Linked DNA regions of Macaca mulatta. The main gene of each other region encodes a partner of the protein of the gene in region 2 in a complex. Links are inferred from orthologs where the notes say so. Each region holds a gene or a part of one and is shown on either strand. Other genes may lie near its edges.

Evidence for each region.
Region 1: MED21 (region 2) and MED23 share a complex: the UniProt entries of both Homo sapiens proteins name them as parts of the mediator complex. The link is inferred for Macaca mulatta from reciprocal best matches to the Homo sapiens genes MED21 and MED23.
Region 3: MED21 (region 2) and MED31 share a complex: the UniProt entries of both Homo sapiens proteins name them as parts of the mediator complex. The link is inferred for Macaca mulatta from reciprocal best matches to the Homo sapiens genes MED21 and MED31.
Region 4: the proteins of MED21 (region 2) and MED7 are in contact, whole or in part, in a cryo-EM structure (PDB 7EMF), measured with the Homo sapiens proteins. The link is inferred for Macaca mulatta from reciprocal best matches to the Homo sapiens genes MED21 and MED7. Residues at the interface, in NP_004255.2 of Homo sapiens: Asp3, Leu5, Thr6, Leu8, Gln9, Val12, Asn13, Leu15, Ala16, Phe19, Ile23, Ile62, Ala66, Ile69, Asp70, Ile73, Asp74, Leu76, Pro77, Ser78, Glu79, Ser81, Ala83, Gln86, Ser89, Leu90, Leu93, Glu96, Asn97, His98; in NP_001094286.1 of Homo sapiens: Phe72, Asp73, His74, Lys75, Leu78, Arg79, Asn82, Ile85, Leu86, Phe89, Leu92, Leu93, Leu96, Phe116, Val119, His120, Ile123, Asn124, Tyr126, Arg127, His129, Gln130, Arg132, Glu133, Leu135, Arg136, Met139, Glu140, Gln142, Lys143.
Region 5: MED21 (region 2) and MED13 share a complex: the UniProt entries of both Homo sapiens proteins name them as parts of the mediator complex. The link is inferred for Macaca mulatta from reciprocal best matches to the Homo sapiens genes MED21 and MED13.
Region 6: MED21 (region 2) and MED13L share a complex: the UniProt entries of both Homo sapiens proteins name them as parts of the mediator complex. The link is inferred for Macaca mulatta from reciprocal best matches to the Homo sapiens genes MED21 and MED13L.
Region 7: MED21 (region 2) and MED8 share a complex: the UniProt entries of both Homo sapiens proteins name them as parts of the mediator complex. The link is inferred for Macaca mulatta from reciprocal best matches to the Homo sapiens genes MED21 and MED8.

Annotation. Positions count from the first base shown.
Region 1 is NC_133409.1:36,667,873-36,671,914, reverse strand, and holds the start of MED23 (mediator of RNA polymerase II transcription subunit 23), read left to right. Parts: upstream 1-1,242; 5' UTR 1,243-1,408; coding exon 1,409-1,447; exon of another isoform or gene 1,448-1,664; intron 1,665-1,796; coding exon 1,797-1,828; intron 1,829-1,985; coding exon 1,986-2,073; intron 2,074-4,042. UniProt on the Homo sapiens protein: Required for transcriptional activation subsequent to the assembly of the pre-initiation complex. Component of the Mediator complex, a coactivator involved in the regulated transcription of nearly all RNA polymerase II-dependent genes.
Region 2 is NC_133416.1:29,388,621-29,392,773, reverse strand, and holds the start of MED21 (mediator of RNA polymerase II transcription subunit 21), read right to left. Parts: upstream 2,801-4,153; 5' UTR 2,768-2,800; coding exon 2,726-2,767; intron 1-2,725. UniProt on the Homo sapiens protein: Component of the Mediator complex, a coactivator involved in the regulated transcription of nearly all RNA polymerase II-dependent genes.
Region 3 is NC_133421.1:8,131,825-8,136,124, forward strand, and holds the start of MED31 (mediator of RNA polymerase II transcription subunit 31), read right to left. Parts: upstream 2,801-4,300; 5' UTR 2,701-2,800; coding exon 2,673-2,700; intron 1,887-2,672; coding exon 1,809-1,886; intron 1,529-1,808; coding exon 1,432-1,528; intron 1-1,431. Other genes in the region: C16H17orf100 (uncharacterized protein C17orf100 homolog), read left to right, coding at 3,085-3,462. UniProt on the Homo sapiens protein: Component of the Mediator complex, a coactivator involved in the regulated transcription of nearly all RNA polymerase II-dependent genes.
Region 4 is NC_133411.1:166,007,764-166,011,733, forward strand, and holds the start of MED7 (mediator of RNA polymerase II transcription subunit 7), read right to left. Parts: upstream 2,801-3,970; 5' UTR 2,742-2,800; intron 1-2,741. UniProt on the Homo sapiens protein: Component of the Mediator complex, a coactivator involved in the regulated transcription of nearly all RNA polymerase II-dependent genes.
Region 5 is NC_133421.1:49,703,013-49,706,512, reverse strand, and holds part of MED13 (mediator of RNA polymerase II transcription subunit 13), read left to right. Parts: intron 1-976; coding exon 977-1,439; intron 1,440-3,446; coding exon 3,447-3,500. UniProt on the Homo sapiens protein: Component of the Mediator complex, a coactivator involved in the regulated transcription of nearly all RNA polymerase II-dependent genes.
Region 6 is NC_133416.1:123,231,902-123,235,401, reverse strand, and holds part of MED13L (mediator of RNA polymerase II transcription subunit 13-like), read left to right. Parts: coding exon 1-401; intron 402-907; coding exon 908-1,127; intron 1,128-2,574; coding exon 2,575-2,763; intron 2,764-3,500. UniProt on the Homo sapiens protein: Component of the Mediator complex, a coactivator involved in the regulated transcription of nearly all RNA polymerase II-dependent genes.
Region 7 is NC_133406.1:196,875,935-196,880,231, forward strand, and holds the start of MED8 (mediator of RNA polymerase II transcription subunit 8), read left to right. Parts: upstream 1-1,497; 5' UTR 1,498-1,501; intron 1,502-4,297. UniProt on the Homo sapiens protein: Component of the Mediator complex, a coactivator involved in the regulated transcription of nearly all RNA polymerase II-dependent genes.

The DNA.
Region 1 (4,042 bases), on a different chromosome or scaffold from region 2:
ACTAGTATTGCACATATTACACTATATTACGGTTTAAAATGTCTACTTCTTCAACTGAACTAAAGCTCTTTAGAGTAGCTATATGGGCCCTAACCTGACTGGTGTCCTACTAGGAAGAGAAAATTAGGACACAGCCATGTACAAAGGAAAGACCACGTGAAGACACAAGGAGAAGAAGGTCATCTACAAGCCAAGGACAGAGGGCTCTATAGAAAGTAACCCTACCAACCTCAACCTCAGACTTCTAGCCTCCAGAATTACAAGAAAAGAAATTTCTGTTGTTTAAGCCACCCAGTCTGTGGCATTTTGTTATGGCAACCCTAGCAAACAATATACGAAGCCTAACTCTTCAAGTTTTTCTCCAGCAGGGAATCTGAATTATTTCTTTTAAGCTTTTAGTAGCTATTGTGTGGGCAACGATGGTTGCATGTGCATGTTAAAGTTGTTAGAAAACTAAATTTATGCCAGGTCAGAGACTTGTATAACAAAACCACTAATGGGGACTCATCAGCTCATCACTTAGCAGCTACAAAGGAGTAGTTCATGCTTAGCAGTTTGTGGCATTTCACAAAGAAGTGAAAGGCCCTTTGCATGTCTATGACTCTCATCAACAATTTTCTTTTTGAGGTAAAGAAAGCTGATCATCGAAAAGGCATAACAGATGTTTTAGGGGTTGGTGATGACGGTGGCATATGAAGAAAAACACGTATTCTCAACAATATTGCCAATAGAATCCAGCAATACATTTAAAAGGATAATATATTATGACCAAGTAGCATTTATACCATAGAAGCAAAATTGGTTTGGCATTCAAAAGTCAGTCAATCACATTTGCACTGAGGTTATCATAGCTGACAAGCACCGTCTCTGTGGCTTCAGCTCCTGGCTGCAGGCCGCTGATGGAGGTCCAGAAGGTCAGCTGCTCACAGACATCAGCTGCGGCTCCAGCATTTTCCGCAGGCTGCAGCCTCTGGGTTTCAAGCTTTTCATTTCCCAGTCTGCAAACGGGTTAGTCCCGAGCAGGAAGCAACTCCTTCTCCAGCCGGGAGGTGGCGGCCTGCGGTCGATCACGCCTCCGGGGTCCTTGGGCTCAAGGTTCCGTTTGGGGGCGCTCTCGTCCGGCTTGCGGGCTGACCTTCTCCACAGACGGAACCGTCTGGCGGCGCCGCTGGTTTCTGCGGGGTTTGCAAACAGAGAGTACCGGGCCCTTCCGGTCTTCCGTACAGGTTCCTCCAGTTGGCTGGGCTGCGGAGGGAAGGCTCCCCGGTAAAGCACTGGGGGAGGGAAGCGACGTCGGAGAGCTACGGTTTCCTCCGGCGGTCTCCGACCCTCGCCCCATATATTCCCAGAGCTCGGGTCTGACCCGGGCCTTACCGGGCACCCCGGAAAGGCGGGGGTAATAGTACAGATGGAGACGCAACTGCAGAGCATTTTCGAAGAGGTGGTGGTGAGTGCAGCTGCCGGCCATCCAGGACTACGGCTCGGGGACGGGTAGACGCGGGGGCAGCAGACCAAGGAAGCTGGCCCGGGCAACTTCGTCTCACGCTTCCCTTTTTATTCTCTTGTTTTGACATCGAGGTTGTGTGCGGGGAGGTTTAGTGATTCTCAAACTGCTGTCAAGTTCATTGTATCCTTTGAAATCGATACAGTGACAGGCCCGACAGGTATTGATAGTTTCAGAGCTGATTAAGGTGACTTGTCCTGTGTTACATTGTAATACTTGGCTAAGGGAGGCGCCTTTTAAAAATTAACATTGTTTACATTTTGTTTTTTGTTTTTTTTTTTTTTTTTTACAGAAAACGGAAGTTATAGAAGAGGCTTTTCCTGGGTGAGTGTATGCGTGGCGGATTTTTGTGTTTTCATGTGATTGTATCTGTCAGATTTTACTTAGTTTCGTGTTGGAAGGTTCTAAGATCCACTATTCTGATTGTGTGTAATTACCTTTTTAAAACGAATGACAAATAATGTAATTTTTATTTTTTTAGCATGTTTATGGATACTCCTGAAGATGAGAAAACAAAACTAATTAGCTGTTTGGGTGCCTTCAGACAGTTTTGGGGTGGTCTTTCTCAGGTGAGCACTTCATTTTTAATACATTCAGCTGATGATTTTTGCCCCCTTCTTTTTTTTTTTCCCTTTAACATTTACTTTGATGTTGCTCTTAAGATCTTCCTGAGAAGGAAGAAATAAAATTGTCATCATTTTTTATTCTGGCTTACGTTTGTTTTAATTTGTATATTTCGGTAGAAAACCTATGTTGAGAAGTCAAGTTGATACTGCACAGTGTGCAACGCTGAAAAAAAGAAAAAAACTCCCCTATGTTAGATTAATTAAGATCATTTTCATCCTATTCGGATTTTTTTGGTACACTTGAAAACAGATGTGTTAAGCTTTACTTGTCAAAGATACACATTCCATTTGTTTTACTTAATAAAGGAATTGGCACAGCATTGATACAAAGATGCTACAATAGGAATACCAAGATTCTATAATAACGATAGGAAGATATTATAGTAAAAATGAGGAAACAAACTGTAAAAGTAACAAAGAACAGCTACCAGAAAATGTATCCGTGAAAAAGACAAAATGTGTCATCCTTGAAGAGCTCACATTCCAGTAGTGCCTTACCTTCTCATGGTGTATTATGGGTAGGGAAATGAGAACTGTGTGTCAGCCACTGGTGATAAGATTTGCCACTTCAGACATGGATCATATAATGCTAATACAGTCATGTTTTAACCTTTTGTTTAATTATTTTCTAATAGGTAATACATTCATATGGTTCAAAATGCACAGGTATAAAAAGGGTGGATCCAATAACTAGTCTCTTTCTCTTCTCTTACCTGTTCTTTTTTCTGTCTCTAGCCAATATCCTCAAGTTATGTTTTCTTCTAGAAGTATTTTATGCGTATAGAAACACTTTTATAGCATGATCATATACCATGTACACTGTTAATTAATTAGCACTTTTTTCTCCTAATAATAATCTAAAGGTAATTCCCTATCAGTCCAAGAGTTACTTGTTCCTTCCTTTCTTGTTATTTATTTATTTATTTTTTAATTAATTAATTAATTAATTATTATTATACTTTAAGTTCTAGGGTACATGTGCACAACGTGCAGGTTTGTTACATATGTATACTTGTGCCATGTTGGTGTGCTGCACCCATCAACTCGTCATTTACATCAAGTATAACTCCCAATGCAATCTCTCCCCCCTCCCCCCTCCCCATGATAGGCCCCGGTGTGTGATGTCCCCCTTCCCGAGTCCAAGTGATCTCATTGTTCAGTTCCCACCTATGAGTGAGAACATGCAGTGTTTGGTTTTCTGTTCTTGTGATAGTTTGCTGAGAATGATGGTTTCCGGCTGCATCCATGTCCCTACAAGGGACACAAACTCATCCTTTTTTTGGCTGCATAGTATTCCATGGTATATATGTGCCACATTTTCTTAATCCAGTCTGTCACTGATGGACATTTGGCTTGATTCCAAGTCTTTGCTATTGTGAATAGTGCTGCAATAAACATACGTGTGCATGTGTCTTTATAGCAGCATGATTTATAATCCTTTGGGTATATACCCAGTAATGGGATGGCTGGGTCGTATGGTACATCTAGTTCTAGATCCTTGAGGAATCGCCATACTGTTTTCCATCATGGTTGAACTAGTTTACAATCCCACCAACAGTGTAAAAGTGTTCCTATTTCTCCACATCCTCTCCAGCACCTGTTGTTTTCTGACTTTTTAATGATCGCCATTCTAACTGGTGTGAGATGGTATCTCATTGTGGTTTTGATTTGCATTTCTCTGATGGCCAGTGATGATGAGCATTTTTTCATGTGTCTGTTGTCTGTATGAATGTCTTCTTTTGAGAAATGTCTGTTCATATCCTTTGCCCACTTTTCGATGGGGTTGTTTGTTTTTTTCTTGTAAATTTGTTTGAGTTCTTTGTAGGTTCTGGATATTAGCCCTTTGTCAGATGAGTTGATTGCAAAAATGTTCTCCCATTCTGTAGGTTGCCTGTTCACTCTGATGGTAGTT
Region 2 (4,153 bases):
GTGGCTCAAGCCTGTAATCCCAGCACTTTGGGAGGCCCAGATGGGCGGATCACGAGGTCAGGAGATCGAAACCATCCTGGCTAACACGGTGAAATCCCGTCTCTACTAAAAAATACAAAAAACTAGCCGGGCGAGGTGGCGGGCGTCTGTAGTCCCAGCTACTGGGGAGGCTGAGGCAGGAGAATGGCTGAGGCAGGCGAGTGGCGTAAACTCGGGAGGCGGAGCTTGCAGTGAGCTGAGATCCGGCCACTGCACTCCAGCCTGGGCGACACAGAGAGACTCCGTCTCAAAAAAAAAAAAAAAAAAACTTTTAAGATCCATTTAGTCAACAAAACTTTATGGAAAATAACTATGACAAGTACTACATTTAAACACTATAGAGACATAGTGAATGCGACATAGCTTCTGCACTCATGGTTTTCAGAGGGTAGAACAAATGTTAAAAGTTATACAAATCTGATTAGGATAAATGCTAAGAAGATTCCCTCTATTTTGGTTCACATCACTCCATATTCCAATTTACTTCAGAACCTAAAGCTGAAAATACTCAATTCATTATAACTCCCTAACCACATACTGTTTTTCCATCACTTAAATGTCTCCTGAGTATATGACATTTTTTTAACCTCCTTAAGGAGTATCTCTTTGCAAACATGATAGTGCTTATACACAGTAGGCACTCATACTAGTTATCCTAAAGGCTTTTCTCCAAAATCCAATTATCAGCATGCCTAACCTGGAGTTAAGGCCATATTCACTCTGTCCTTACTATCCTTCTAGTTACAAGACATGTATGAATATGCAAAAGTTTCCCTAAAATAAGATTTCTATCCAGCAGCATCATTACAATTTGATTTTGTAAAATCTCAAAGGAGTAGTTCCCTGAGGAAGGCTGACTGGCAGCTCAGGCAAGTCCCTGCAGGGCAGAATTTATCTTGGTGAATTCAACATTTAGAAGCTGGTCCTCTCAGCCTTAAAAACTAGTGTTATTCACCCAGGGTAGATCAGTTTATCACAAGTAGATTCACACTCTTCAAGTGTACAAAGCCTGATGTATTAAGAAAAATGCCAAGTTATTAGCTTACAGTGAGGAAAAAAAACTGGCAAAGAAACCAGGTACTTAGGTTTTCCTCTCAGCATGTTTTCTCTCTAGCCCCTCATCTAGGACGTTAAATCACAATCAGACAATGAGAAACATAACTATCAATGGAAAACTATTTAACAGAAAACTATGTAACTGGTAATGGTAATAAGTATACCCATTGCAGCAAGAGAATACCCACTGACGTCTTGGTCAACGGGATGCATATATTATGTCGGTCCCCTATGGTTATAACAACGCTGAAAAATTCTTACTGCCTAGTGACATCATAGCGGTCTGTGCTTGTGGTGACGCTGCTGTAAAGCAACCTACGGCACTGCCAGTGTATGAAAGTCTAGCACATACAATTAAGTACAGTCCATGATACTTGATAATGATACTAAATGACTTTGTTACTGGTTTATGTATTTACTGTTTCCTCGTTATTATACATTGTACTTCTACTTATTAAAAAAAAAAGTTATCGCCGAAACCATGCATTTCTCAGAACATAACCCCTTCATTAAGGGCCCATGACTGTATGCGCATCCTCTGGCTTTGCTTCTGCTTTCCACTCAGGCATAGCTTGGAGGAAAAATTACCAGAAGGAACAAAGCTGGGGAGCTACCTACAAGACTTGGCCTTTAATAGAGCGTAGAATTTGGGGGAGACGTTAAAAAAGACTTGTAAGCCGGGCACGGTGGCTCACACCTGTAATCCCAGCACTCTGGCAGGCCGAGGCGGGAGAATCGCTTGAGGCCGGGAGTTCGAGACCAGCCTGGGCAACATGGTGAAACCCCGTCTCTACTAAAAATAGAAAAATCAGCCGGGCGTGGTGGAGGGCGCCTGTAATCCCAGCTACTTGTTTGGCGGAGGCGGAGGGTGCAGTGAGCCGAGATGGCACCACTGTACTCCAGCCTGGGCGACAGACACAGTCTCCAAAGTAAAAAAAAAAAAAAAAAAAAAGGAAAGAAAAGAAAAAAGAAAGACTCAAATAAACGGAAAGACATACGAGAATCAGAAGATTTCCTATCATAAAGATGTCCCCAAACTGATGCATTCTGAGGGGTGGCCAAGAGACAAGAGATGGAAGGAGGCTCTGGGCCCACAGGAAGGAGCGAAGATGAAAGAAAATCTCTCACCTCAGCGTCGCTCCGCACCAACCTGAAAGCGCTGGTGAAGGAATACTCTCGGCTGGCATTTCATTACAAAAACCCAGTCATCCACAGCACGAGATCTCCCTTGGTGGATTCAAATTGATGAGGAAAGAAAAGAGCTCCTGCTTCTCCTCCCAACCCCCAAAAGAGATCCCGTAAGCACCGCTGCCAAGAAAATAAAACTGTCCTCAGGGAATACGACAGGACCGCGCAGCCGACAAGTCTTGGCGGCCCCACCCGGACAAGAGCAATCTTCCCGGTCTCCTCAAGCGAAAGAGGCTGCTCCCTCCCGCACCTTCAAGCACCGCCCGGCAGCCGGCCTCACACCTCCGAGTTCGCGGTGGCGCCTCCCGAGAGAGCGCTTTATGCCGAAGCCCTGTTTCTCAGTCCGCTTTCCACTTCCAAGTTTTGCCTCTTGGGCCCCTTTTCTCCCTTGCTTTACCTCAGGAAAGAGAAAGACAGAGGCTAATCGAATGAAATTCCTCACCGAATTCACAGCGTCTTGAAGCTGCGTGAGCCGATCCGCCATGTTCTTCCTGCAGCAAACAGACGCCAAAACAGCTGCTCTTCCGCGACTGGGCAGCTCTGGTACGCGTCATGGCCAATCCCAGCGCTGCCTTCTTGGAAGGGGTGGGGTCGGAGAGAACTCCCCGCCCCGTCAGGAGTGGGTGGTACTGCCGAGGCGGCCTTAGAGCGGGCTACACCAGAGGAGAGGCTGGATCTTTTGAGTAACTGGGGAGCGGCCTGGGGTCCATCGCTTTGAGGGGCTGAAATACTCTCTTTGAGGTTGTTAGGTGTTAAAGGCTTCAGAGATTGTTGGATTCAGCGGGGATTTTTTTTTTTTTAGTGATTTCTCCTATCCTCTCATGTGTTTACTTATTGACTACATTGAAGAGTAGATATATTTATTTATTTTGAGACGGAGTCTGGCTCTGTCGCCTAGGCTGGAGTGCAGTGGCGCGATCTTGGCTCACTGCCAGCTCCGTCTCCCGGGTTCACGCCATTGTCCTGCCTCAGCCTCCCGAGTAGCTGGGACTTTAGGCGCCGCCACCACGCCCGGCTAAATTTTTTTTTTTTTTTTTTTTTTTTTTTTTTTTGTAGTAGAGACGGGGTTTCACCATGTTAGCCAGGATGGTCTCCGTCTCCTGACCTCGTGATCCGCCCTCCTTGGCCTCCCAAAGTGCTGTGATTACAGGCATGAGCCACCGCGCCCGGCCAAGAAAAATCAGCTGCACAATTTAGATTTAGAGTTGGGACTTATTGAGAGATTAAGTGTGAAGAGTGATAATAGAAACTTGGTATTTAAGGAAATTTAGCCTGAGGATAGTCTGGTAAGAAATGAGTTTGGAGTCGGCAAATAACAGGTTTGGAGACATCAAACAAACTCTCATATCCTCTTTCTCAGGTTGATTATCCGTGATTACCTTCCTGCGGCTGCGGGGTAGGTGGTGGACACAGTCCCCGGGGAACTCAGCTTGCTGGATTTATCCCAACCCTTGCTGGGAAGCACCACTTCTGCTTCACACCCATGCCCCACCCTCATCCCCAAACAGTCTACAGACTTACTGGGGCCTCATTAAGAACGTGGATGAGGCATGCTCCCCATAATGGAACTAATGAGAAATCACTCCATAATTTGTTCTAACTGTAACTTGGGGGAATCTACAACCTTTTCCTCCCACCTTCACTTGAGCGTGTACCTTACTGAATGCCTGCCACATGCCAGGAAGTATATCCAGTGCTCAGTGTGCAAAGATGAATAAGCCAAGGACTCACCAAGAGGAAGGTTTTGCAGTTGTCCAAGATTAAGGTGAGCTGGGCCTAGAATAGGGTGTTGGTTGACCCTGATAAGAGAGGAAAAAAAGACTAAAATATATTTTTGAGAAAAATAATTAATACGGATTGGTGACTGATT
Region 3 (4,300 bases), on a different chromosome or scaffold from region 2:
GACTGAATAAAATGCCCAAAAGGGGCTAATCTGCAATCTCTCTTGAATGTAAGTATCTGGAAGGTTGTTGTCCTCAAGAGGGTATAGAATGGTTCTAGCTCAATCCAGGGACAACCAAGTTATCAAAATTAATGTCACCAGTAGTGGGACAAATAGACTTCATGTGACTGCAGATAGATGAAGGATAACACTACAATCAGACTAGAGCTACAAGGAGAGACATTATATCACAATATAAGGAATAACTTTCTAACATCTGGCTAACAATCAAATCAGCTGTCCCTGACAGAGTAACATGGGCTCAGTGAAAACCTCCAGAGTGTAGATGACCATCTCTCGGCAACGTTTTGGGTAAGATTAAACTTGTTGGTGGCTAAGGCTTCCAACACTGAGTCTGTAAATCTACATACATACAACATTTGTTGAAATCTATTTTTCTTAAAAGTCTTTTCTTTGGATTATTAAATGGATAAAAAGCCAGAAAAGGTGCAAAGGGTCCTGAAGGCAATATAAGATGTATATGCTTCGTGAGTCAATTGTTATTGGACACAGAAAAGTGACTTCGAAACAAGTTTGAAACATTTTCCTCTCAAACTTTTTTTTTTTTAAGGTTCACTATTGCTTTCTACCTGCTTAAGACAAAGCAGGGATGAGTTCAAGGTGTTTTTTTTTTTTTTTTTTTAATCATTAAAAGGGAATAGGTTTGTGGTTATATGCTTCTTGCAATTCAGTAAGCCTTAACACAAAAGTGTCGCTGAATGACCTGAATGGTAAATATATATATATATATATATAAATGAGTTAATGCATATGAAGCATTTAGCACTGTTTCTGGCACATAAGAGGCCTTAAATAAAAGATAGCAACTCTAAGACTCAGGTTAACATCACCTCCTCCAAATAACCCCAGAAACACCTTCCTTACAGATACCCTCTTTTAATTTCAGCCCATGGCTTATGTCACTTCATTTACAGACTGTGAGTTCTTCGGGACCAGAAACCTGGTGAGATGGGGAGGGTGGTGAAAGACAAGGTCAGACAAGGCAGGGCCAGATCATATAGGGCTTTAGCCCAAGAAAAGAGACTGGATTTTATTCTGCATGGTATGGAAAGTCATGGAAAGGTTCTAAGCAAGAAAGTAAAGTGTTCTGATTTATATTTTTAAATGACTAAGTTGGTTTCTGTGTAGAAAGCTGTTTTGCTTGGTTTGGTTTGGGGTGGGGGGGGGGCAGGAAGGTAAAAGTGGAAGCAGAGATAACCAGGGAGTAGATTACTGCAGTGATACAAGTTAGAGATGAGAGTGTCTTGTGTTAAGATGGTGACAACGAAAAGAAGTGGAGAGATTCCAAATACATTTTTGCCAATGTGAAACGAAGAAATCTATCATATCATAAAGTATACACATGCTTAGGATTATAAAAATTAAACTTACTTTAGATACTTGGCATATTCTGGGTCTTTCCAGTAAAGCAAGTATTTAAGATAATTAACAAAAGCTTTGTCTTTGAAGTAACCTCTTTGGGCAAGAACTGAAAAGCATTAAAAAAAAAAAATGTCTGTAGGTCAAACCAATCTTTAAACTATGCTTTGTTACCCCTAATGTAAAGGATCTATTTACATAAAACCCCCACCACCAACACACATTGAATTCAAAACACAAATCCCAGTGCGCAATTATATCTATATACCAGCATAAGTGTAATGTCATTCAATTGAGAATGTGTAAAAGTAGATACTATTTTGAATTGCAACTCTTCTGTCAGAAATCATTAGTAGCTACTCAATTTAATGAGGTGCTTAACAACTTACAATTAAGGTAATTTGGGTTGGCTAAACATTGCACAAATTCCAACTCCAACTGAAACCGAAGTCGATTTCCAGCATCATCTAGGAGACAAGACAGCAAAAATCATGGAAAGTAAGGGTCACTGTATATAATACTGATTTGTAGTAAGGAAACAGCAATAAAGAAACCTGACTAATGCCGAGATGGTCTTCCTAAACTGGGAGTTGGGGGAGATAAACCTTTCTTCGAAATCTAAGAAAAGCGGAGCCCTGATTAAAAGGAGTTAGAAGTTTCTCTAAAATTAAAGAGAAATCATCAAAGAAAGCAGCAACACAAACGGAGAATTCCTAAGATCACTAAGGTAGGCTGTAACAACTATGGCTTCCCCTATGTTAATAATGCGTTATAACAATTGTTAACAGTGATTAAGTTTTGCAAAAGCTACGTGCTGAATCAGTTAAGAAAAAGTTAGGATGCAAGAGACTGCGCAGAGCCTAAAAGATCATGGAGCGTATGCATATAAGAAGCACCAGTAGCAGAATGACACATAAAGTCCGGCGACGATATTTCAAACTTAGGCAAGCTCATGTGAGAAGCAGAAAACCAATCAAGGAGGAGACGGTTTAACACACAAGTCCTCTCCCTTAGTCTCACCCACGCCGGGGAGCTGGTAGGGTGGTGTCTGAATAGCAAAGATGTGCGAACAAACCAAATTAGGAAAACTGCAAAGAGTACCTTAGTCTTTCTAGACGCTACAAGAGCCTTCTCACCTCCTTGTCCAAATATTAACCCTGCCGAGAGTAAGGCCTGGAAGGAGGCCACGGGGAAGCCGTCTGGACCGAGGGGAGTTCCATCTGCGAAGACTCCAAGATCAGAGAGCTACTCACCTGTCTCCATAGCGACGGCAGCGGCCATAACAAACGAAGACACCAAAACGCCACCAGCCTGACCGAGCAAAAGCCCAGAGTGGCGGGGGAAGTTCCGGAAACCACGGCTCTCTCTTCCGGTCCCGGGGCACTGTGGGATATGGGGCCGGGCGGCTCCGCCCATCCCGCCAGCCCTGGGATGGCTCCACCCGCGCTGGCTCCAAAATAGCGAGGGGGCGGGGCCCGGGCCGTGGGAGCGCCTGAGGGGCAGGAGCCCAGTGTTTTTAGCCTTGGAAGGATCATGGTGTTTCCACGTCATCGTGTTGTGGCGCTCCCGGCTATGGCAGTACCGTAGTTTTCCTCTCTTCTGCCTGCGGTGACCGTTGGGCTGGGGGGTGCCCCGAGGCCTCCTTGGCCCCCTCACGCCGGCAGAATGGCCTCAGCCCGAGGGGCCAAGCAGTCTTCTCCCCGGGTGGGGACCACCCGCTACACAGAGACGTCCACAGTCCGCGTGGAGACCTCGTCCCACCGTGTGGAGACCTCGTCCCACCGCGTGGAGACGTCGTCCCGGCGGGTGGAGACCTCCCAGCGCCGCAGCGAGGGGCCCTCCCTCTCCCCCTTGGGGAAGCGGCTCCCTGGCATCCTCGAGGCGTCCTCCCGGCACGTGGAATCCTCCTCGCAGCGCACGGAAACGACGTCCCGCCACATCAGGGCCTCGTCCCTGAGGGTGGAGACGGCTCTGCACTGCGCGGAGAGCCCAGCCCCGCGGGCCAAGCCGGCCGCCCGCCAGAACGAAAAACCGGCCCGATGAGATGCTGCTTCCCAAAGGCCACCAAGGGGCCAGGGCCCTCAGCCAGGACAGAAAGGCCTCCAGTTGCCAGCCAGCCAGCCAGCTGCCAGGTGGACCAATCATTTTCGGTTTCATGGAAACAAACCATAAATCAATGGAAGAAACAGCCAAGCCGCAGTTTCTGAACACAGCCAACGTTTATTGACCATCCTGCGTCTTGGACCAGCCTACTTTTGACCCAGTGAACTATTTTCACTTGAAGCCAGCACAAAAGATTTTCATGCCCAGGATGCTGTCTAAATTGGCTTGATGGACAAAGAGGCTGTTTGAGCCTCTGAGCCAGGTGAGTTTGGGATCCACAGCCCTCAGAAGACCTTCACCCCTTAGGAACAGAGACCAAACTGAAATCATGACCTGTGGAATGATTCCATGCCTGCTAGAAACTTGAGGGGCAAGGAACAGACTCATAAATTATTAATGGCCTTTGTTTATGTTTCAAGGTAACTGGTGGTTTTCTTTATGCTAAGTCTTTGTACCTGGCACTCCCATCCATACACTTTTTAAAGGTAGGTTAGATGTAGTTAAAAATGACAGTAAACCCACCAGCAAGCAAAAATAATCTTAGAAGAGAAAGTGAGAGGAGGCCATTGAAACCTGGTCTGAGGTTTGAAGAAGATGGAGAAGAGTCATATTTATTGAGAACCTGCTCTGTGCCAGGTACTAGATGTTCCTCCACTTACAATGGGGTTACCTCCCATTAAAACTATTGTAAGTTGAAAATACGGTAATTTGAAAAGGCACTTAATATCCCTAACCTACTAAACATCATAGCTTAGCCTAGCCTACCTTAAACATGCTC
Region 4 (3,970 bases), on a different chromosome or scaffold from region 2:
CTACTCCTCCATAACCAAACTACACGTTGTCTCCCAATCTCATATCAGAATCACTTTTGCTTTATGTTACAGATTGATTTCCAATAGCAAACACTTACTTGTATCTCTCATAAACACTGACAAAATTAACACTGCTAAATCCTAAAGACATGGTATTATCCAAAGTTCCTGAATGAAATGATTCAGTTCCATATCCTTTTTGTCACAGTAAACTATGCAATTTTATATGGACACATTAACTTTTTTTTTTTTTTTTTTTTTTTTGAGACGGAGTCTTGCTCTGATGCCCAGGCTGGAGTGCAGTGGTGCGATCTCAGCTCACTGCAACCTCCGCCTCCTGGGCTCAAGCAATTCTCCTGCCTCAGCCTCCCAAGTAGCTGGGATTACAGGCGCACACCACCATGCCCGGCTAATTTTTGTATTTTTAGTAGAGACAGGATTTCGCCATGTTGGCCAAATTGGTCTCTTAATTCCCCACCTCAGGTGATCCGCCCACCCTGGCCTCCCAAAGTGCTGGGATTACAGGTGTGAGCCACCGCGCCCGGCCTGTATGGACACATTAACTTCCCTACAACTATCACAGAAATTTCAAACCCCAGGTTCAAACCCAGTATCTTCTATGGCCATAATAACCTCTACTTACTCTACCTTAAGCCTAGATATACCATCCAATGAGAAGATTCTGAAGTGCTCCTTTACACTGGTATTATCAAAGTTTCAAGATATAACACCCTCTAACATCAGGTGGGGCAAGTATTCTATTAGAAGCAATATTATACTTAGAATTCGTGAGGTACTAAGGGCAGGCGTGGTGCAGCCCTGAGTTTCCACCATGCCACAGTAGTGCATAGGATGATGCAGCCTCGACCTCCCAGGCTCAAGCCATCCTCCCACCTCAACCTCCCAAGCAGCTGGGAGTACGAGGCAAATGTCACCACGCCCAGCTAATTTTTGTATATTTTGTAGAGACAGAGTTTTGCCATGTTACTCCGGCTGGTTTTGAACTCCTGAGGTCAAGCAATCCTCCTGCCTTGGCCTCCCAAAGTGCTGGGACTACAGGTGTGAGCCACCACTCCCAGCCAACATTTTAAAACTTATAACATAAATTCAGATTACAGAAAAAGTGCATGAATATACAAAGAACACTTCATATTCTTCACTCAGATTCTCCAAATGTTAACATTTTCCTTCATTTGCTTTATTGGTTTCTCATTCCTTCACCCCTGAATACTTCAATGTGTTTTCCCAGGACAAGAATGTTTTCTTCTACCCACAGCACAATTACCAAAATCAAGGAATTAACATTGATCTGGTACTTCAAAACACAGTTTTTGACACCTTACGTTTCATTCCACTCAAACCTTTTTAGGTGAGGAGTGCTGCTCTGTACTTTCCTACACGATGTGCATTCCTGTACTTAGGTTGTCATTTTCCTAAGGCAACTACGTGACAGATACTGTTGTTTTATGGCCTCTCTAACATAATCTTCATAACAATTCTATGAATTAAGGTTGTTTGTTTTGTTTTTTGAGACAAGGTCTCAATCTGTCTCCCACGCTGGAGGGCAGTGGTATGATCAGGGCTCACCGCAACCTCTGCCTCCCGGGTTCAAGGGATTCACCTGCATGACCCTCCTGAGTAGCTAGGGACTACAAGTGTGTGCCACCACGCCCAGCTAATTTTTTATTTCTCGGTAAAGACAGGTTTTCACCATGTTGGCCAGGCTGGTCTGGAACTCCCGACCTCAAGTGATCCGCCCACCTCGGCCTCCCAAAGTGCTGGGATTATAGGCGTGAGCCACCACAGAGTCCCATGAATTAAGTTCTATTATCAATTTCATTTTAGAGGTGAAGATCCCAAGTCTCAATGAGGGGAAGTGTTGCCCCAGATCAAAAAGTTAATAAATGGTACAACAGGAATTCTTATCCCAGGTCCCTTTAGCTCCAAAGGGCAAGCTCTCTTATATCTCTAAGCCGTGAAGCATCTAATTGTACAATTAGAACTTGCATATTACAAAAATTATATTTTTCTCTACTGTCTCTCTAGATGGAACTTTTCAAAGGCGATGGAAGTCTTATTTTAATAAAACCAGAGCCAAGCATCATAACTGGTTCTTAGACTCAAGATCCAACATCTAGTGTTTGTTCTGGGGGAGAAGGCGCCTCACCAGAAGACGACAGATATTCCAGGGTCCCAGCCCCAGAGATTTGATTCATTCTGTCCACTGTGAATGGGCCCTGGTATGTCGCTTTAAAAACCTCTCCAGATGGACCTGACGATTAGGCTTGGTTGGGATCTACTGCCCTCGCCTGCCCCCGTATCTCAGCTGTTTCACAACTGCTCCCAGAAGAAGGAAGGGCAGGGAGGGCTACTCTCATGTTACAAAGGGCCAGAAAGGGCAAATAACTCGCCCAAGGCGACACAGCCTAGAAAAACAGCGGCGAGGGGACTAGACACCACGTCTCCCAACCTCCACTCCGGCTCGGCGTCCCCACACGGAGGAAGCCCTGGGACTGCAGCGCTAAGAGCCCCCTCCTCCAGGCTGTCCATCCCGAGACCTCCACGAGCGGCGGGGAGGCCGCGCTCTCGGAGAGACTCGGGACAGAAAGACGAGAGAGCGTCTTCGGAGGCCGAACTCCTCCATGCCTCCCCAGTTCCCAGCCCAGCACAGAGGAAACCGCGGGGTCCGGAAGAAAAAAACGCACACACGCGGGAGCCCCAAGCCGTTGCCGCCCACTCACCTCAACTCTGGCTTTACACTGGTAGCCGCCTTCCCCCTCTGCAGCCGAAACCAATTTCCGGTCTCCTCCTGGAAGAAGCCACCGACTCTGTCTTTGATTGGCTGTAGGAGCTGTCCTTTAACGAGATTCTAGATCCGCCTCAGACCGATCGCTCGCTATTGCGCCTGCGTATATTCGACTCCTGCCATCGCCACCCCTTTCACTGACTTTTAAAAGTAGTAGGTGAGGGTTGTTTCTTCGTTTCTTTAAGGCATAAAATTAAACAAGACATCTTATTGCTTTATTTTTTATAGACCCCTTATTGACTAGAAAAAATCTTATATTTTGCCGGGCGCGGTGGCTCAAGCCTGTAATCCCAGCACTTTGGGAGGCCGAGATGGGCGGATCACGAGGTCAGGAGATCGAGACCATCCTGGCTAACACGGTGAAACCCCGTCTCTACTAAAAAAAAAATACAAAAAACTAGCCGGGCGAGGTGGCGAGCGCCTGTAGTCCCAGCTACTTGGGAGGCTGAGGCCGGAGAATGGCGTGAACCCGGGAGGCGGAGCTTGCAGTGAGCTGAGATCCGGCCACTGCACTCCAGCCTGGGCAATAGAGCGAGACTCCGTCTCAAAAAAAAAAAAAAAAATCTTATATTTTAATATGTAACATGCTCTTGTAAGACTTCCATGAATTTAGACATTTATGACGTGAAAATAACCTCCCAAAGAAAACCTAGCAAAGGTTGTTCGTGTGTTCCACCCGCTGCCCGCATTACAACTCTTCTGCTGACAGTCGCAGCTGGTAGTTCCATTCCTTTTGTCTTTTCTTTTTTAATTGAACCCATACAATGAAGACATCTTACATAAAAATTCGAAAATATAGATATGCAGGGTTTTTTGTTGGTTTATTTTGTTTTATTTATTTATTTATTTTCTTTGAGACGGAGTGTCTTTCGCCCAGGCTGGAGTGCAGTGGCGCGATTTCGGCTCGCTGCAACCTCTGTCTCCGGGGTTCAAGCGATTCGCGTGCCTCAGCCTCCCAAGTAGCTGGGATTACAGGCATGTGCCACCACACCCGGCTAATTTTTTTTTTTTTTTTCCTTTTTTTGTATTTTTAGTAGAGACAGGGTTTCACCATGTTGGTGAGGCTGGTCTCGAGCTCCTGACCTACAGTGATCCGCCCGCCTTGGCCACCCAAAGTGCTGGAATTACGGGCGTGAACCACGTAGCCCGGCCTCCCCCATTTTA
Region 5 (3,500 bases), on a different chromosome or scaffold from region 2:
TGTTGGCAAAATGTGGCCTGGTCCACCAGCTGTTTTTGTAGATAAAATTTTATTGGAACACAGCCATCCTCATTTATTTATGTATTTTCGCTGGCTGCTTTTGTGCTACAACATTGGAGCTGAGTAGTTGTGTGGTTGCAAAGAGACTGTGTGGTTGCAAAGACGAAAGTATTTATTATCTGACCCTTTACAGAACAAGTTTGCTAATCCCTAATGAGGGATCCCATCAGGTAGGATGAAATTACGGGTTATAGATAAATTTTCTGTTGCCTCTGTAGGGTCTGATGTTTTAATAACATGAAGATTCTTCATTTGTTACAGTTCAGAGATAAAATAATTTATAGTTAATCTCTACCAAACCAAGAAATAGTTCTTTGTTGTAGCTAAGAAAATGACAGCTGTTTAAGACTTACTTGTTACATACGTTTTTTTCTTTCATTCTACCATGCCCAACTGTATTGCTTATAAATACTCTTGAAATAAATATCAGTGGACTTCCTGTAGACTTAATCCAAAGAGATGCAGAACCAAAATATTGAATCTCGTTAGACATTCCTGTAATTTGAACGCCATGATAACATTATACCATTTTATATTTTAATTAGCTGCCAATGTAGCCAATATTTATTTGATTTGTGATTTAGAAACCCTTTGAATAGTTTGGTGAATATTGCTAGATACCTTTTTTTACATTCCATTATACTTAGAAAATAGAATTTTGTTACACTTTCATAGTAATCATTTCTTTAATTTTAAGTGAAAATTCTGGCTTTTTCAATTCCATTTTAAATATGTTTCTTCAGTTTCTAGAGGAAAATAGAAAGCAAATGTAGGTCACACCATTAGCAAGCAATTTAGGGGCTATAATTACCAAGAAAACATCAACTGGATTATGATTCTGTTTACACGTAGAATAAAAAAAAGAACCAGTCGGTCAAATAAAGAATTAAATTTCCTACCTGTTTTTATTCTTTAGGTCCTTATCTTGCTTCCCTGCCATTGGACAGCTCTCTACTTTCCCAGCCAAATTTAGTTGCCCCTACAAGTCAGTCTTTGATTACTCCACCTCAGATGACAAATACTGGAAATGCTAATACTCCATCTGCCACCTTAGCATCTGCAGCAAGCAGCACTATGACAATGACTTCAGGTGTTGCCATATCTACTTCAGTTGCCACAGCTAATTCAACTTTGACCACAGCTTCAACTTCATCTTCATCATCCTCCAACTTGAATAGTGGAGTATCATCAAATAAACTACCTTCATTTCCACCCTTTGGCAGTATGAACAGTAATGCTGCAGGATCCATGTCTACACAAGCAAATACAGTTCAGAGTGGTCAACTAGGAGGGCAACAGACATCAACTCTACAGACAGCTGGGATTTCTGGAGAATCATCTTCACTTCCCACTCAGCCGCATCCTGATGTGTCTGAAAGGTACCTTTAAAAATACTGCTTTTGCAGAAATATGAAAACTATGATACTTCTTTTTTCTTTTTTTTCTTGAGACAGAGTCTCATTCTTTTGCCCAGGCTGGAGTGCAGTGGCGGGATCTCCATTCACTGCAACCTCTGCCTCCTGGTTTGAAGCGATTCTCCTCCCTCAACTTCCCCAGTAGCTGGAATTACAGGCATGTGCCACCACACCTGGCTAATTTTTGTATTTTTAGTAGAGATGGGGTTTTGCCGTGTTGACCAGGCTCAAACTTCTGACCTCAGGTGATCGGCCCGCCTTGGCTTCCGAAAGTGCTGGGATTACAGACATGAGCCACCATGCCCAACCATGCTGCTTTTTTGTAAATAAGACATTCTGAATGAACATAAAGTGCTTTTTATCTTATTCTTGAAATTTTAGTTTGTTTCTTTTTTTAAGACAAGGTCTCACTCTGTCACCCAGACTGGAGTACAGTGCGTGATCACGGCTCACCACAGGCTCGACCTCTTGGGCTCAGGTGATCCTCCCACGTCAGCCTTCTGAGTAGCTGGGACTTACAGGCATGCACAACCACACCCAGCTACTTTTTTGTAGAGACGGGGTTTCACCATGTCGCCCTGGCTGGTCTGGAACTCTTGGACTCAGCGATCTGCCTGCCTTAGCCTCCCAAAGTGCTGGGATTACAGGCATGAGCTACCGCACCAGGTCTAGTGTTGAATATTTTATGTATAAAATTATAATGAGGACTTTACTTCATAAAATCTTTATCATAGAATTCTAGAATCTGAGGGTGGGAATTAAGAGCTTGAAAACCATGTAGTCCAGATGCCCACATGACATTTGAGTCTTCTGTGGCATAATTGTCAAGTAGATTTGCCTCTGCAAATCACTCGAGTGATTGAGAAGTCACTATTGACCCAGTCTATTCAGAGGCTTTAGAGGGGTACTAAAGTTTGAATCTCAGCTCTGCCATTTAGCTGCTTTGTGACTTTGGGGAAACTCTAACTTTCTGAGCATGTTTTCTTATGTGTAAGATGAGAGTAATATGATATAATATACATTAAGTACTTTACACAGTGATTCCAAGTTATTTATGGTGACAGGAATGATCATGACAGCTCTCATTCCTTTTATGATGAAGGTTTTGAGTGATCTTCCCTTTTGATTTATAGGCTAGGTTAACCAGAGCTTAATTATATCTGTCAGCTATCCAGGGTGCAGTTGTGCCCAAAATTACACTCATGGGTAAAAACAAACCATTACCCAGATTGATCCACCTCTCTTGAACATATGAATAGATTTGAAGTGTAAAAAAATCAAATCACCCATCAAAGAATGAAACTTGTTCACCATTGAAGCTATAAAGTATGAAATAAATGTATATAGTCTAAAAATAGGACGAGATTAAGTGGTTCATGCCTGTAATCCTGGCACTTTGAGAGGCTAAGGCAGGAGGATTGCTTGAGACCAAGAGTTCAAGACCAACCTGGTTAACATAGTGAGACCCCCATCTCAAAAAAAAAACATGTATATATAGTCTAAAAACGTACTAGAACATTGAATGAGTCTGGAAACGTGGTTTCTGGAAACATGGTTTCTTTCTGGCCTAGCTCTACCTGTAACCAACTTTATAAATTTGGGAAGCTATTTGAGATAGCCTCAGACAAAGAGACCTATCTTTGTCTCAGTTTTATCCCTTAAACTCTAAGCAATCTTTTGTATCTAATACTCTATGGTTTTAAGAATTCTTTTTTTCTTTTTTTTTCTTTTTCTTTTTTGGTAAATTTAAGGCAAGACCTCTTAAGGCAAGTGTCTTTATACATTGTGGAATTGTATTTACAATGTTTATGGTTAACTTTGGTGAGAAAGAAATGTTCTTCATTTTCAGAGAGGCTTTCTCACACCTTTCACCAAATAAGAGGGAGGAGGGGGGATATTAAGAACCTGCTTATATGCTACGTCAAGCATATACAGTATAACTTTTTGTCTCATTTCTACCTTAAATTTTAGCACGATGGATCGGGATAAAGTGGGAATCCCCACAGATGGTGATTCACATGCGAT
Region 6 (3,500 bases), about 94 Mb from region 2:
CTTGATAGCAGCCTGTTGATACCACCTAAATACCAGACCCCACCAGCAGCGGCACAGGGACAGGCTACGCCTGGGAATGCTGGGCCCTTAGCTCCAAATGGATCAGCAGCTCCCCCAGCTGGCAGTGCATTTAACCCCACCTCGAATAGTAGTACTACAAATCCTGCAGCAAGTAGTTCCGCATCTGGTTCCTCTGTGCCACCGGTCTCATCGTCTGCCTCTGCTCCTGGTATTAGCCAGATAAGCACTACCTCTTCTTCAGGATTCAGTGGTAGTGTTGGAGGGCAGAACCCCAGCACTGGGGGCATTTCTACGGATAGAACTCAAGGGAGCATAGGCTGTGGCGGAGACACTGACCCTGGGCAGAGCTCTTCTCAGCCCTCACAGGATGGACAAGAGAGGTATGTTACTCACTAATTGAGACGAGTGGCCTCAGCTCAGACCCTTTCTCTCTTCTTCCGCACCTTTTCTCCCTTGACCTCATGATTCTCTGAATCCTATGAAGTGCTCTATTTCTCTTCTTCTCAAAAGAAAGGGGTAATGGTCAATCTAAAGCTGCAGTGTTAAAATTTTGAGACTTCTTATAAATTATTATGACTTATAAACCTTATTATTAAACTTACAATCAACTTAATAACAACTTTGTACAACATAACCACAGAAAAGAAAGGGGAGTTTGAAAAAGATATCTCCCATTTTAGAGGAGTACATTGCCATTTTCCATCTGCTTTCAATGCTCTCTGGCTTGGTTTGCCTGTATTTTGGTAAGGTGATACATGTTACTCTTACATTTAATCTGTAAATATTCTTTAGGGAGCCTGTGTGCTCTAGTATTGAGCACTTTTGTTTTTCATACTCATGTAATTTATGTTTATTTTGTGTGTCTCACAAGTGACTCTCTTGCCAGTGTTACAGAAAGGGAGAGAATAGGAATTCCCACGGAGCCTGACTCTGCAGACAGCCATGCCCACCCTCCAGCCGTTGTCATTTACATGGTAGACCCATTCACTTATGCTGCGGAGGAGGACTCCACTTCTGGGAACTTTTGGCTGTTGAGCTTGATGCGCTGCTACACAGAAATGCTGGATAATTTACCTGAGCATATGAGAAGTTCTTTCATTCTCCAGGTTACTGTTTGCAAGTTTATTATTTACTTTTGATGTTGATGTTTTTGTTGTTGTGAAAATAAATACAGGCTTATGGTTTTTCTTAAAAAATAGAAGTACAGGTTAATTATCCTCTAACCAAAATACTAGGGACCAGAGTGTTTTGGATTTCTGATTTTGGAATGTTTGCATATATGTAATGGGAGACCTTGGCAGTGGACCCAAGTCTAAACATAAAATTTGTGTTTTATATACACCTTATACACTTAACCTGAAGGTAATTTTATACAATTTTTTTAATAATTTTGTGCTTTATACAAAGTTTTGATTAAATTTGACTGCAGCACATCACATGAGGTCTGATACGGAATTTTCCACTTGTGGCGTTTTATTGACATTCCAAAAATTGTGAGTTTTGGCGCATTTTGGATTTCAGATTTTTTGATTAGGGATATTCAACCTGTACCCGAAAGTATAAAAGAAAAAATAATCATAATTCTGACTTTTACATTCAACCACCATTACCATTTTGGTGTTTTTCTAGCTTGTTTTTCTATTTTTGTTTACACAGTTGAGATCATACTTTTAATATAACTTAGTTTCTATCTAATGTTATTCATGAATACATTTTCATGTTATTTAAATTCTTACAAGCATTTTTAATGACTGCATATTTTCCATAGCCATTCCTATATCTCCACTTCTTTACTGTTATAAATAAAGCCATAGTACACATTTATGTATAATCTTATTTTTCACATTTCAGGTCATTTTTTAACATGGGTTCTTAGATGTAGATGCGACACATATTGCCAAATTCCATTCCAAAAGAGATTACACTTACTTTCCTTTCATCAGTGAATGAGTATGCTTATTTTCACTGCCCCTTTGACAGCTTTATAGTGTAATGATTTTTTTAAAAATTCTATATAGATGAAAAACAGTGCTTCGGATGTTTGGGTTTCATTTTAATGTCACTTTAACTGAAGCTATCTTGTAAAATTAAAAGATTGAAATTAAAGTTATCAGAGTACATTGCTGATAGTTTTCCATTGTTTTGAAGTCTGTATCCTAAATGATTAGGTAATAATTCCAAAAAATGCCACACACACTGTGTAATTATAAAAAGGAGAAATATAATACAATTTGGGGGCCATGGTAATACCTGTAATAAATTGAGATCTTACCTCTAAAATGGGAACATGGTAGTTTCTAAGTGACAGTATAACTTGACCCATATAATCGTACATCTTTCGAAATTGCTGGTGATAGAGAATTTTATGTCAGTGGAAGGAATTAGGATTTAATTATATTATGTGTGACACTGATATATTTTAGGGCTGAGGTTACCTCTCCCCATTGTGGTAAGGAATTCATGCCGTTTCCTTTTTCAGCTTGCTTGTTAGCGTGTTAGATCTCAGTTTCTAGGTTTTTGGTTTTGTTTTGTTTTTTGTATTTGTGTCTTTAGATTGTGCCTTGCCAGTACATGCTGCAGACAATGAAGGATGAGCAAGTTTTCTACATTCAATACTTGAAGTCCATGGCATTTTCAGTGTACTGCCAGTGCAGGCGACCATTGCCTACACAGATCCACATTAAATCCCTCACGGGATTTGGGCCTGCAGCCAGCATTGAGATGACCCTCAAGAACCCTGAGGTGGGTATTGGCAGGACAGGAACTTAGAAAATTTATACTAAAATGCAAGCTAGGAGAGGTATTTTATCTAACCTAGAGATTGGCTGGTTGCTTAGTTGGCCTTCTACCTTGATATAAGAGTTGCTAGGCTGGATGTGGTGGCTCACGCCTGTAGTCTTAGCACTTTGGGAGGCTGAGGTGGGAGGATTACTTAAGCCTAGGAGTTTGAGACCACCCTGGGCAACATAGCAAGACCCCGTCTCCACAAATTTTTTTAAAAAAAATTAGCCAGGTGTCAGTGATGATGTGTGCCAGTAGTCCTGGCTGTTTGGGAGGCTGAGACGGAAGGATCACTTGAGCCCAGGCGTTTGAGATGGCAGTGAGCTGTGATCACACAACCACTTCCGCCTGGAGAGTAAGACCCTGTCTCAAGCAGGGAATGAAAAAGAGTTGGCAGATTTCTTTAACTCTTAGATTTAAATAGAGGAGATATTTCTCTGAACTTTTAAGAATTTTTGAGAAAAGAGGCAAGCAAATTCTTACTGTTTTTTTAATGTAGGACTTTAGGCAATAATATATGTATCACTTTTAGTTCTTAATGTTTGAATTTTCTAAATTTATTTTCTTTATTTTTCTAAGCTACTCTGTGTCTTAGATCAGAAATCCTTTGCATTTTCTGGCTCTGGTCTGTATCCTGAGACAGCAGTTGTAGTTGTGTTTACTCTGCAGGGGGCCCTCATTTTCTGATGCACATACTT
Region 7 (4,297 bases), on a different chromosome or scaffold from region 2:
GGAGATCAGGAAGTCTGGGAGTAGCTGGAATTCTACCAGCTGCTGCCCTCTAAGGGGAGGGGGGGTGAAAAGGTGACAGTTCTTACAAACCCCTGTGTGTACGACTCAAGCAGGTGGAATGAAAATGGAACTAGGCATGTGCTGCTGAAACTGAGAGTAAGATGGTATGGATAAGCTTTGGAGCTCAGGGGTATAGGAAAAGTTTTAGTACAGCTGCTCTAGAAACAGGAAAGGAAGCTGATAAAGGAAATGGAAAAGGCAATATTGCCAAGTACTAAATAGGGCACAGTCTGAAACTGGGAGAGGAGTGTGGTTCGCCTTTCTATCGAGTCTCAAATGAAAGACCGCCCAATCAGAGACAGATGGGCAGACCTGGTCAGAGCTTGGTATCAGTGGGACATTTTCAGGAGGACAAGGGGGTAAAGGCATGGAGGCTGCTACTGAAAGAAGCCAGCCTGGGTGAATAGGAATGGAAGGGAAGTCAGCCAGGGCTGAGCACTGGAAGAACAGGGAAAGCAGAAAGCCAGCAACCCAGAAGAGGTCGAGGGCAGGGACCTGCAGGTGGCATGGACCTGTGCAGCACAGCAGACAAGGTATGCGTTTGAACCAGGCCACCATGGTGCTAATCCGGGCTCCGCTGTTTTTTCCACTACGTAACTTTGGGCAAACTACTTAATCTTGCTGAGCCTTAATTTCCTCATCTGTAAAAAGAGTAATACAAAGATCAAAATCTCTTATTTGAGCCCCCTCAAACTAGATAGTATTAGAATCTCAAAGTGTTCAGATTTTAGGAAAGCAGTATACTGCACAAACCATATATTATTTAACATCCCCCTATGAGGTTTGGGGCAGCATCCTGTAATTAAATGTTAATATTTCTTCTATGAAATGAATCTTTACGCTAGAAGGAACTATAAATACATTCATACCATTTCAGGTCAGATTTTACTGCCAAATGAATTCTGACACTTACCTTTTAAAAAAAATGTTTAAAGATGTTTCAAGTTCATATGTGCCATATTGGTGGACCATTAATAGAACCCACCTCATAAGGCCATGTCACGAGGATTAGATGACCAAATTAACATTAAGCAGTGAACACAGTGCCTGGCATGTAGTTACGTCCTCAATACATGCTGCTGTTAGTGTTTTTCTCATCAGCATCATCACTGTTGATGACAGTGTGGCTGAAGTAAAAGGGGGACTGATAAGTGGGGAGGAATATAGAGAGGGAGAAACACAGTGAAAATAAGGCAGAAAAGCAGACCAGATGGGGTTTTGAATACCAAGTTAGGAGTTTGGATTTTATTGAGTAGAAGCAGACAGAGCAGAGAAAAAGACTATAAATTTTTCAGAAAATCAATGATATCAACAGATTTTTGCTTCAGAAAAACCATTCTAGTGGCAGTGTGAAAGAGCGCAAGGAGGCTAAGACCTAGCAGGAGAGCTTTGTGGTAAGCCAGGTGACAGATGATGAGGGTCTCACATGAGGCTGTGGGGGGTGGGATGAAATTCAAAGGGAGAACGGACAGGATTGGGAAACTGATCGGGTGTGGGATGGTGAGGACTAAGAGAAAATACTATCACAGAATATAAGGGAGTAGAAATATTCCAGAAATAGATGGGCAGTAATAATGTTAAATGTAGCAAAAGAAAGAAGAAGATAAGGTGTGGAAAGCATTCTCTGGGTTTGGCAATTAGGATGCTACTGGCAATCTCAGGAAGAGCAGGCTCAGTTGACTCCGTGAGAATGGAAGCCACACGTTATCAAATGTCATAGAGCAGCCAGTAAAATACAGACTGAAAAAATAGGGGTTGAATTCACTAACAAGGAGGTTTTCAATGACCTCTGACATTCATTGCAGTTTGACTTAATGAAGTATTATGGGTAACCTGCAAACCGCAGTGGTTTGGTATAGGGATGGGAGAGTAAGGAATAGATTGTCCAGTAGATTGGTTTTCTCTATGAAATGGGAGGTGATCACTGGCTGTGGGCATTGGGAGGGAAGGAACTAGTTTTCCAGTTTGAAATAGGAGATTTCAATTGGGGCTGAACGACTTTCTCTGTAAGTGGACAGTAAATATGTTAGGCGTTGTGGGCCATAGCCTGTCACATATCCTTCTGTGCTTTTGTTCTGTTTTGCTCAGCAACCCTTTAAAAATGTAAAAATTTGTTTGTTTGTTTGTTTGTTTTGTTTTCTTTTTTGAGACAGCCTTGCTCTGCCACCCAGGCTGGAGTGCAGCATCGTGATCTCAGCTCACTGCAACCTCTGCCTCCTGGGTTCAAGTGATTCTCGTGCCTCAGCCTCCCTAGTAGCTGGGATTGCAGGTGTGTGCCACCACGCCCGGTTAATTTTTTGTGTTTTTAGTAGAGTGGGGGTTTCACCATGTTGCCCAGGCTGGTTTCAAATTCCTGGACTCAAATGATCTGCCTGCCTCCCAAAGTCTCCTAAAATGCTGGGATTACAGGCATGAGCCACTGCACCTGGCCTAAAAACACAAAAATCATTTTTAAGCCAGACCACACAAAAATAAGCTCTTGGATAGATCTGGCATAGGAACCAGAGTTTGCTGACCTGATTTAGATTACTCCCCTTTCAAATCTCCCCAAGTGACAGAAACGACTGCATGTTCATTGTAAAGCAGAAGCACCCAGGACAAAGACAGAAGAGACACAAAACTGGAAACCAAGTAGACAAGTGGAAGTCAGCAAACTCAGGAAAGCTGAATCCTGTGCTGGTAGTGGGAAAAGTTGAACTGAACGTGAAATATATCACAGAACTCCCCAAAGACTCAATCACTGGCAGCATCAGGTACCACTAGTAGAGGGAATGAAGATGATACTGAAAACAAGATTCCCGGTTTCTAAACATGAGCAGGCAGCCAAGATCATGAGGCATTAGAGGAAAGTATTTTATATAAAGACAGGAGACCAAAACAAATGAAATCTAAATGCAACATTGAAAAACTGAAGAGACTCAGGGGGATGAAAACTCAGGAAAAAAAAATCATTAAACTCCTCAGAGAGAAGACATTTTACTCATGAAACAGGTAGAGGATATCATAAAAAATATATTTGGTGAACAAAAAGAAAAAAGTTACCCTGGAAAATGAAACACATAATAGCAGAAATAAAAAGGGCTGGAAAAGGAATTGGAAAAGTTAAGGAAATTTCTCACAATATAGAACAAAAAGATAGAGATGGAAAACGATTAAGAAAATATTTTTAAAAGATTAAAGGACAAGTCCAGAAAACATGACTTCTGAATATGGGAGTTCTAGAAAGAAAGAATAAGGGGAAAAAATGAAAAGGCGAAAATGCTGAAAAGAATAACTCAATAAAGCTGTCCCCGAACTAAAGGTTTTGAGTTTTTTGTGCTTAAAAGGGTCCTCTGAGTGTCCAGCACAGTATGAAAATAGCTCTCCATCAAGGTACATTATCGTGAAATTTCAAATTTCTAGAGAGAACAACAAACAGACTTTATATAAATAATTAAAAATCAGAACAGCATTAAGACTCCTCAAGCAGAACACCAAAAGCCTAGAATACAATGGGGACAGTACCCTCAAAATACTGAGGAAAAATGATTTCCAACCTAGAATTCCATACGCAGCCAGACTATCAATTAAGTGTGAAATCAGAATAAAGACATTTTCAGGTATGTTCTCAAAAAATTACTTCTCATGTATCCTTTCTCAGGAAATTAGTACAAGATGTGTTCCATTAAATGAAGAAGTAAAAAAATATGGGGCCCAGGAAATGAGATATACCACAAGAGGATGGTGACAGGGACTTCAAGACCACAGATGTTTGGCTACACAGAGAGCAAACCACCCAAGGAGAGCATGCAGAGGCTCCCAAAGAGAGTTCTTCAAGAAAATGAAGCTGACAGACAATCTAACATGTCTGAATATATGGAGAACGATTTATACAACTGGAGAAGAGTTTAGGGTTGAATTAGTGACAAATACACAAAAAACTAAGGAAAGTAAAAAGCAAGACTTTTACTGACTTCAGGAAAAACAAAACATGCAGTGAAAAACTAGTAATCATGGTATCTATGAATAGTGTTTCTATGGTCATGGTATATAGATTCAATATTGCTCTAACTATATTAGGAGAATTGGAGGATAGATTGCATGGCTATGGTAGAGGAGTGGTGAGTGTGACAGAGTATTAAATATTCATCTTCCATTGAAGAAAGTCAGTAGGTAATACTCAAAACAGAAAAATCAAGAACTGGCAACATACTCTTGTTATTAGAGATTCAGTGGTTAAAAACCAAACAAATTAGCT